3 linked regions of the Tribolium castaneum genome follow. The protein of the gene in region 2 purifies or fractionates together with the protein of the main gene of each other region. This does not show direct contact. Links are inferred from orthologs where the notes say so. Each region holds a gene or a part of one and is shown on either strand. Other genes may lie near its edges.

Region 1 (2,408 bases), on a different chromosome or scaffold from region 2:
CACTTACACAAGTTGTGGCAAGCGCACATGTCCGGGAAACAAAACATGTGTGTATTAATTAAATAATCAATCGGTTATTGTTAATTTTTGCAAATTTAGTGACCGGCGAGTGTGGACTTTACGCCAGCATTTAATTTTCCTAGTCAATAATCTACAATATTACCTCCAAGTGGACGTGATCGAGGCGCAATTTTCGCTACTTTTGAAAGCGATCGAAAACGCCAACGAATTCGAGGAGATCATCAAAGTCCATCACGAGTTCATCAGCAATTTACTCGCGAAAACTTTCATCCTGACCCCTGATAAAGTAAGTCAAGTCGGTTTTGAAATTACTTTGGTTAGACTGAATTAATTTTGCAGAGCCACACTTATCAAAACAAACACCGGTTACACCAAACTCCCGCCGTTCAGTTTAACGTCCCGAGTGAAGTAATAATTGTTGATTAAGTGTTTAATTGAACAATTAATGGTTTGTTAAAGGTTTACAACGTGATAATCCAGCTGCTGGAGCTGTGTGACAATTTCTGCGTCATTGCGTCGACATGGCAACCGCAGTTAACCGAACCGGAAGTAACCGAGTTTGAACAGTTCCAGAAACGCACCGATACCATCGTCGATTCGCTTTTGTTTATTCTGTACAAGTTACATGAACGAGCCGATGGCCAACACTTGGTCCAGTTGTTGCACCAGCTCGACTTTAATCGCTTTTTCACTCGAAACAAACCCGAGTTTAACCTAACGCAAAGAACGTAATTTATTTTTTCTTCATCACTTTCATAAATAACACCATATCTGGAATAAATTAATTAGGAGGCAAAGTTATTTCATTCGGCGACTTACTAATAAAAACAACCACAACCACAAGTAACATGATCCACATCCAGCATTTCCAGGCCCGTTTCGAGTGCTCGGCCAATTTGTTCGATTCCGCGCTCAGTTTGGAATAGTTTTGGTCGGTTAGTTGCGCCGATCGCGACACAACTTCGGTGTCTTTTTTGATAATTTTATTGGCTAGTTCCGACTGTTCTTTCAAGTTTTTGGTCAAGATGAGCATATCGTCGGTGATTTTCTGTTGCATGTTTTCGTGGAAATTCAAAACTTGGTCTAAGTCGCTCGTTTCGGGGCCTTTGCGGTGCCTCACGCCTGCAAGCTTTACTAGTACCATGAACTGTTACAAGGGGCCACAGACCTAGGAGGCTCTCCCGGAGCAATTCGGTGTCGTTTTCAGGGGGGTATTTACTTGTAGTGATCCCCAAGTCGGCCTTAATGGCTGCGATACGGCGCTGGTACGTCAGCAGGAACTCATAGTTGGGACTTAAACGCCTGGTTTAGTGAAAATTCGGGGGTTTTGGGACAACTCACTCTGACATTTTTTTCACTTCTTGGTACATGTCTTCAAGACTTTCGACGTATTTAGGCATGCGGTCGTCGTCTTTTTGCTTGCTCTTGCACATGAGCTCGCACTTGGCCAGGAGGCGCCGCAAGTTCACCTCCTGACGCGACAGCCCCATTTTGGCCAACAAACAAACCCGCTCGTGCTAAGTTTTACGAAAAGGACCACGAACTTTCGCTTAATCACCTCATTTCAATAATACCGACGTGTTCAATCGAACTTTGACAGATAAAAGTGAGGTTACGTAAGGGGAACTGTGCCCCAAATTATGCAAATTGGGCGGTTTTGTGTCGTGGTTTTTGCACTATTTTAGGCCATGGACCTACACTACCAAAACGAAGCCACAAAAATTGATAATTAACGATTAAAAAATTGAAATGTCAATTGTCAAAAACCAAACCTCAAATTTCCCACAAAATTATTTAAGGAATTTTGACTTAAAAACACGTGTGTGGGCCAAAACGGGCCAAAAATCGAGTAATTGTGCCTGATTACTGTTCAATCATGGACGAATTGAGCACCCGATTGGATTCGGAAAACCCAACTGTGGCCACTCAAATCGTCTCAAAACTGGCCCAAATTGTGAAAAAGCGCCAAAGTGGTGATATTTTCGAAGTGCCCGAGTTCAGACTCTTGCGGGAAAAGTGTATGAGTGGCAGTGTTTTAGCAGCCGAGGCCATTTTACAAATTGTGAAAAGTGACCCCAAAGTGGCCAAATCGGTGATTACTGACTTTGTCACACTTATAACAACGGCAAAGTATGGGGGTTGTGTCACTGGGGCGTTGTCATGGCTGGTTTATTTCAGGTTCGCCCCAAACGTGGCATTTTTAATTAATAATTTGCTAATCACTGATTTGGAAGAAAGTGGGTACAAATCGTCGTATAACTTGCAAGTGCCCCAACACCCCTTTATTGTAATGCTGAGAGAGGCGCCAAATTCGTGGAGCGCGATTTTTCGGGAGATTAATTTTTGTTACAGAACGGCAAACCCGAAGTATTAATTACGTTTCAACG
Region 2 (3,764 bases):
AGGGAAGAACGTCGATCGTGTAGTTGAAATTACAGGAATCTTTATACCACTCGGCGAAGTCTTGGGGGTGTCCCCGGACGTAAATCATGTTATTTAACATCGCCGTGCCCCCCAGAATCTTCCCCATGGGCCAATGACTTACTTTTTTGTCAAGCCCCAAACAGGCATGTTTCTGGGGCACCGTTCGGTACTGCCAGTCAAAAACCGAGTCTTGTAGCATGAGACTAACAGTCGGGATTTGCAAAATGCCATTTCCGCTAGCCCCAGCTTCAATTAGCAAAACTTTAACGCTGGGGTTTTCGGCGAGTCTTCGAGCGACGATGCTTCCAGCTGAGCCGCTCCCGACTGTCTCAATTTGAGTAATTTTGTTAAAACTGGGCGTCTATACCAACCTACAATGTAATCGTAGGCCTGGTCCTTGAAATCCAGCTCTCGACAAGCGAAGCACTCAAAGTAGTTGTGAAAGTACACAAATCTAAGGTATAGCCCGAATAGATTAACAGCGAGAACGTAGACACTTATGTAGAACGCAGGGTTGGAGCAACACATTGTGTTTAATTCAATTTTACACGGAAATTTTGAAATAAAAAAAGGCCGAAAATTGTCAAAAGTGAGGTTATGCCAAATAGAAGTGAGGTTACAACTAAACCACCTGTCAAGAAGTTTATTTAAATTTGTCTGGGTTATTTAGTGCTGAAAAACACGCGTAATGTTTGATTTCTACTAATTGATTTGATGCACGTCTGTAAATATAACGTATGTTTTTAATTTAATTATGAGTCTAACTTAATTAATCGTACTTTGCCCACAGGTGTTAGAATCTGATGCAACATTGTGCTAAAATACTTATTAACTTATGGGATTTATTATTTACTGTATTAATTGCTAGATAAACGCACCGATTTTGTCGATTCTGGGCCATTGTCATAACTGAGGTTATGTGCCACATCGCCTTAAAATGACCACATCGGAATCAAAAAAAGAATTAGTTAATGAACTGAATAAGAAGTACGGTAAAGATTTATTAAATTACGAAAAATGTAAGAAGATCTATGAGCAATTGCAACAAAACAAGTCTGAGATTGAAAGACAGGTTTTTAATGCAACTCCCCAAGTTCCCACCCCTTAAAGTGTGATTTTTAGTTAAATTTAAACGATGAGTCATCTTCGATTGGTAAAGTTGTCAAAGAGGCGGAAATTGCGGCACAAAACACTGATCTTTGTTTGGAAAGAACTACCGATGTTATTGACGAAATTAAAGCAAATCTCGTTGAAGTTGAAGATGTGAGGCGAGATGTGCAGAAACGTCTTGATAAATTAAATGCCTTACAAACAACCTTCCAGTACTTTAAAGTCATACAGAGAATTGAGTTTTTGAGGTTGGTCACACTGTAGTTTTTCCCCTCGCAATAATCGAATTTTAGCGACGAATTAGAACGCGAATTTAAGAAAAAAGACGATGAGCAGTGCGTCACAATTTTTGCGAATTTGTGCGAAATCAGCCGTAATTTAACTGATTTTCAAGGTAGCAATTTGAGGAATTATCTCAAGGACACTCTACACTATTGGCACAACGTACTAAAGGAAAAACTAGCAAAGTAACTGGTCTGATTTATCATTCGAGTCTTTATCTAACATTTTAGAGATTTCGATGACGTAATGAAATCACTCAAATGGCCATTCGTTAGTGCAAACTTCAGTCTACAAACGCCCTCTCCTAACAGCATTCTGAAGCTACAAATTGTGGCAGAATATCTGCTCCAAATCGAACTTCCAAGTGAGACAATTGATCCGAGGATAACTTCGGCCCTTTTGAGCGATTTTCCACCCCTTTGTCTCCCAGTTATGCTCCTAGTCCAACCCTTAAAGAAACGGTTTTTGTACCATTTCTACGGCGCCCGTCAGACCAACAGGCCTGATAAGCCCGAATGGTACTTTACCCAGATTTTAACATGGATCAGGGACCATGCCGAATTTTTAGTCAAGTGGATTCAGCCGGTGATTGATAAATTGGGGCTCCACCACATTGACGCCAAAGTAATTTTCTCTATTTAATTGTTTTTTTTATGATTAAGTTCTAATAATAAAATTTTGTTTGACAGTTGGAATTCATCAGAGGCCTTGTACAGTTGGCTGTGGAGAAGCTAAACTCTGATTTGCCTAACTTACAATTTGACGATTTCACTTTTTCGCACTCTATTGACGAAGCTCTTGGCTTTGATAAAGAATTGCGTGAAACCTACAGTTATCCACCGACGCAGCCGAGTATTTTAGCCGTTTTAACTCAAGCTAAAATCATTATTAAGTGGATGGCTATGGAGAAAAAATGTGAGTTGGCGTGAGTTCACAGCCTCCTTAAATTTAAATTTAAAATAAGAAGGAGGTTGTGCGACCAATCGCCTAGGAGATAATTTGTTCTGATAATATTTTGTCAGATGCTATGGAAAAAATGGACGCGATGATGTCCTCAGCCACAGTCGATCCTTTCGAGCCGCTAACTTACGATATTGAAGAGCTGAAAATAACAACATGTGCCGATGCTTTTATAACGCTTCTTCAGACAATCACGGAACGTTACGAGGCATTGCCACAACCCGGCCACCGCTTGCAGTTCTTAGACCTCCAGTTAGAGTTACTGGATGATTTTAGAATAAGATTATTGCAACTGGTTAACGCGGAACATGAAAATATAGTCGAATCGAAGATCCCCACGATTGCTAACACGATCTATTACATCGAGAATGTTTTAGTTGATTGGGGGGCAATGTTGGTACGGCTGGCTCGAACCGTGCGATTTGATTGGCTGAACGCAGACTTTCAGCCAATCAAATGGCACTATCTATACTTATGCAAGTGTTTCAGCACTATTTGAATTTATACTACTACAAAAGCCAGTTGAATGACTACAAAGCACCCACAAGCCCGTCAAGTGATTCGGACGACTTTGACCCCACGGATATTGAGGGTGAAACTGTTTTTGCCGAAACTTTATCACTCTATAGGCACATGAGACGCGACTTGTTATTTAATTTATCAGATTATGTCATGTTGGAAGTCAGGTCACAAGGTAAAGCCTACAGGAGGGAAAGGTGGTCCTCTATGAATGTCGGTAAAGACATCAAAGGCCTGTCTTTAACACCCACAGCCTGCCCTATTTTCGAAATCGTGGCTAAACGACTACACCAACTGCAAAAAACTCTAGCTTCGAAACTTTTTACGATAGTTTGGCGCTCGGTTGCGCAACAATTAGATAATTACCTCTTTGAGGATCTTGTCCTTGATAATAGATTTAACACTGGAGGCGCTTTGCAGTTAAAGTATGACGTAACAAGGAATTTACTGCCGTTATTTTCGCAATATACCGAAAGGCCCGAAACGTATTTCGTCCAGTAAGTTATTTACTCAGTCGGTAAAGTGGAAAATAAGAACTGTTGCAGACTGATTGAAGCTTGCAATCTTTTAAATATAACTAAAGGGTCCGCTTTGCTACTACGAGAGACTCTCTTGGCTCTTGAGGGGGCCACAGGTATTGAGGACTCCCGCGGGAGAGCCCTCAAGGAGGTTGGGGTGGTCAGCTTCACCCCAAAAATGGCCGTTAAGATTCTAAACCAGCGCACCGACATTACTGTTAATAGGATGGACGTTGATTGAAGCATTTATACGTTTTGTTGAGAAATTTTATAATAAATGTTTTCCCCACCATTGCATTTCATTGAATCACCCTGTAAGTGAATCTAGAGTAGAGTATAAAATGTTACTTCTGG
Region 3 (2,631 bases), on a different chromosome or scaffold from region 2:
GAATTAGGGTGTTCGGTAAAATAAAATCTTCGCTGTATATTTGAATTGGATAGTTTAAAAGGTAATTTGATCAATGCTTTAAGAATAATTAATGAAGACCAAAACCGTTGTATTAAAAGATCAGTTGAATGTAAAGAACAGCGTATTATAGAACAAGCAAGAAATCATAATAGAAAAATCTGTACTTTCATAAATTATAAAGAAGCTTATGATTATATTCCCCATTCTTGTTTAACCGAAAATACATAAAAATATATAAAATACGTCGGTTTTAAACAATCATATCAATTGAGTTTTGTTAAGAGATTTAAATACCATGCGATCAATTGAATTTATAATTAAAGTAGGTGATTTTTTGTCTTTGTGATTAAAAGCTAGTACGAACTGAGGGAAAAATCAGTTCTTTTAAAAACCCAATATTATTATTATTATAAATGTCTCAATAATAACGAAACGTATTTTAATAATAATGTGGTTACAACAATACAATAAATAATTTATTTAGCGTAATCTGGGGGCTTCCCAGATGCCTTGGACCAAGGTCCTTCAGTCTATAAAAACAATACTCGTAAAATAACTCATTATAACGAAAGTAGTTGAAGTTTATTTAAAATAATCGTTTTTGCACGATATAAAAAACACACGCCACAAAGAAGACAAACGCAAAGAACATGAGGATTTTATCGGTGAATTCCCTTCGCCCATACTTCGCCAGCAATTTCCCCGACTGGCTAATTGTACTTGAGGTTATTTTGAGTTCTTCCTGTGACCCGATTACACTATCGGAGGAAGTAACTAGCGCGTCCAGCGTATCCGCACTCCTTTTCGTCGTATCAGCTAATTGCCGACTGATTGATAACAACTGTTCGGTTACATTTGAGCTCATTTTGACCAAATTTTCCTTATCGCGTTTTTGCCTTTGACGCAGCGCCGTTTCCTCAGTTTTCGGTTTCAACAACTCCTCCTGAGCCCCCTTTTCTATGGCCAACATCGCACTAATATTGGCCTTTTTGAACGCCTCCATTGTGCTACAAAATTAATCTCTTCACACAAATGCGACACAATACACCAAATCACCTCGCTAATTGTTCACGATACGAAACTACGTCTTTCAAAAACGTGGGGTTTTTGCGCTCTTTGGCTATATCCCCGAATTTGTCGATGAATTTCCGCAAGGCGGAAATTTTTGAACGTCCCGCGCTATTCAAACCTTGCAATTCAGCCAATGGGCCGACGCATGCGTTGATGTCCTACCACAACACGGACGTGTCAAAAATCAGGGTTTATTTGTGGGTAATACGCACCTGAATTATCGCTCTAATTTGTAAATTGTGCTCAGTTATGTCTTTTCTCAACGTTTCTAGCACGTAATCGGATGAATCCATCGTTTTAAGCTCGTTAGCACCCGACTAAGCTAATGGAATGTAAATCTAGTAACCTACTCATGAGCAGGGTTTTCCGTTTTTGAACCAAGCAATGGCGCCAATTCAAAATTTAAACGTTAGTTTAAAGTATTAGCTCTTTGAAAAGTATGTAAACGCCAACGTCACATTTTTCTCAAAATTAGTTGTTATAAATTATTTATACACTTCAAAAAATTGATAGATAATGTAATTTATATTTTCAATGAGATCTAACCATTAATACGTATCTTACATTTATTTTTACCTTATTTAAAAAAATAATTTGGTAAAGAGCGTGGTTAGCGATTATTTTTTGTTGGTTTTGAATTTTGAGTAAAGACTGAAAATTTAAAAAATAAAATATCACTTTTAACACAAAACAAAAAAAACAATATTTTGTTTCTTTAAGCCTTTCCCTCCTTTTAAATTTTAAAGTAGGGGTGGCTAGCGATCAGGGGATGAAACCTAAAATGTAACTAATATTGGTTTTGAATTTCCCTTCGAGATCCTAATCGATCGGTTTTTGCTTGAAAATATCTTTATTCAATATCAACAGTTATTGAAATACAGTGGAACCTCCCTTAATGGACACCTCCGAAAAACGGACACCTCTTCACAACAGACATTTTTGTAAGAAGTTAACAATATATTAAAATTTCCACCTCTCCACAATAGACAATTAAAGGTTCCCCATCAGTGTCCGTTGTTGAGAAGTTTTACTGTACTCGTAAAATAGTACTTAAATCAATAATGGACAAATTTAGAGACTCATATGAGCCTAAAATTAGGGCTTTTCGAACTTAAACCCAAGAAGTTGTGGAATGATATTTGAGTTCCTAAATTGAGTCTTTCTCGCTCGCTAAGGCAACTTTTGCGGATCATTTAGGTGAATACAAAAAAAGTGTTTCGAGGGATAGCTGTACAACTTCAAGGATTTCCAGGACTGTAAAAGGATGTATAAGGAATGTATGGTGTACAAGATTTAGATCAGATGTTTACCCCTCGCAAATGGTAAAAAAACAAAAATTAAAAACAAATTGTAACGATTGGTCATTTACTACTAGACCACCATTTATTTCCTTAAATGAGGCAATGCCATTGAATAAAATAAATGAATGATTCATTCGATAGTTCAAATCGCTGTTCAAATCATTTGATAACTGATTATTCCATAGTCAAAATCATTCGACTGTGTGCAAAACTAGTTACTAACACTCCGCGAAAAAAA

Evidence for each region.
Region 1: the proteins of Rint1 (region 2) and Use1 purify together in Homo sapiens (co-immunoprecipitation; 3 studies listed by BioGRID and IntAct, counting the BioPlex papers as one, with this or other methods). This does not show direct contact. The link is inferred for Tribolium castaneum from reciprocal best matches to the Homo sapiens genes RINT1 and USE1.
Region 3: the proteins of Rint1 (region 2) and Sec20 purify together in Homo sapiens (co-immunoprecipitation; 3 studies listed by BioGRID and IntAct, counting the BioPlex papers as one, with this or other methods). This does not show direct contact. The link is inferred for Tribolium castaneum from reciprocal best matches to the Homo sapiens genes RINT1 and BNIP1.

What each region holds. Positions count from the first base shown.
Region 1 is NC_087396.1:21,173,898-21,176,305, forward strand, and holds Use1 (vesicle transport protein USE1), read right to left. Parts: upstream 1,512-2,408; coding exon 1,363-1,511; intron 1,315-1,362; coding exon 1,190-1,314; intron 1,144-1,189; coding exon 841-1,143; intron 828-840; exon of another isoform or gene 793-827; coding exon 755-792; 3' UTR 754-754; downstream 1-753. Other genes in the region: Grip75 (gamma-tubulin complex component 4), read left to right, coding at 1-47, 100-307, 361-429, 481-753; focadhesin, read left to right, coding at 1,898-2,151, 2,200-2,388.
Region 2 is NC_087399.1:3,668,336-3,672,099, forward strand, and holds Rint1 (RAD50-interacting protein 1), read left to right. Parts: upstream 1-958; coding exon 959-1,093; intron 1,094-1,143; coding exon 1,144-1,379; intron 1,380-1,424; coding exon 1,425-1,598; intron 1,599-1,643; coding exon 1,644-2,037; intron 2,038-2,102; coding exon 2,103-2,328; intron 2,329-2,435; coding exon 2,436-2,770; intron 2,771-2,862; coding exon 2,863-3,389; intron 3,390-3,437; coding exon 3,438-3,651; 3' UTR 3,652-3,700; downstream 3,701-3,764. Other genes in the region: alcohol dehydrogenase [acceptor], read right to left, coding at 1-345, 393-549. UniProt on the Homo sapiens protein: Involved in regulation of membrane traffic between the Golgi and the endoplasmic reticulum (ER); the function is proposed to depend on its association in the NRZ complex which is believed to play a role in SNARE assembly at the ER.
Region 3 is NC_087395.1:17,502,737-17,505,367, forward strand, and holds Sec20 (vesicle transport protein SEC20), read right to left. Parts: upstream 1,487-2,631; 5' UTR 1,386-1,486; coding exon 1,305-1,385; intron 1,251-1,304; coding exon 1,078-1,250; intron 1,029-1,077; coding exon 608-1,028; 3' UTR 582-607; downstream 1-581. UniProt on the Homo sapiens protein: As part of a SNARE complex may be involved in endoplasmic reticulum membranes fusion and be required for the maintenance of endoplasmic reticulum organization. Also plays a role in apoptosis.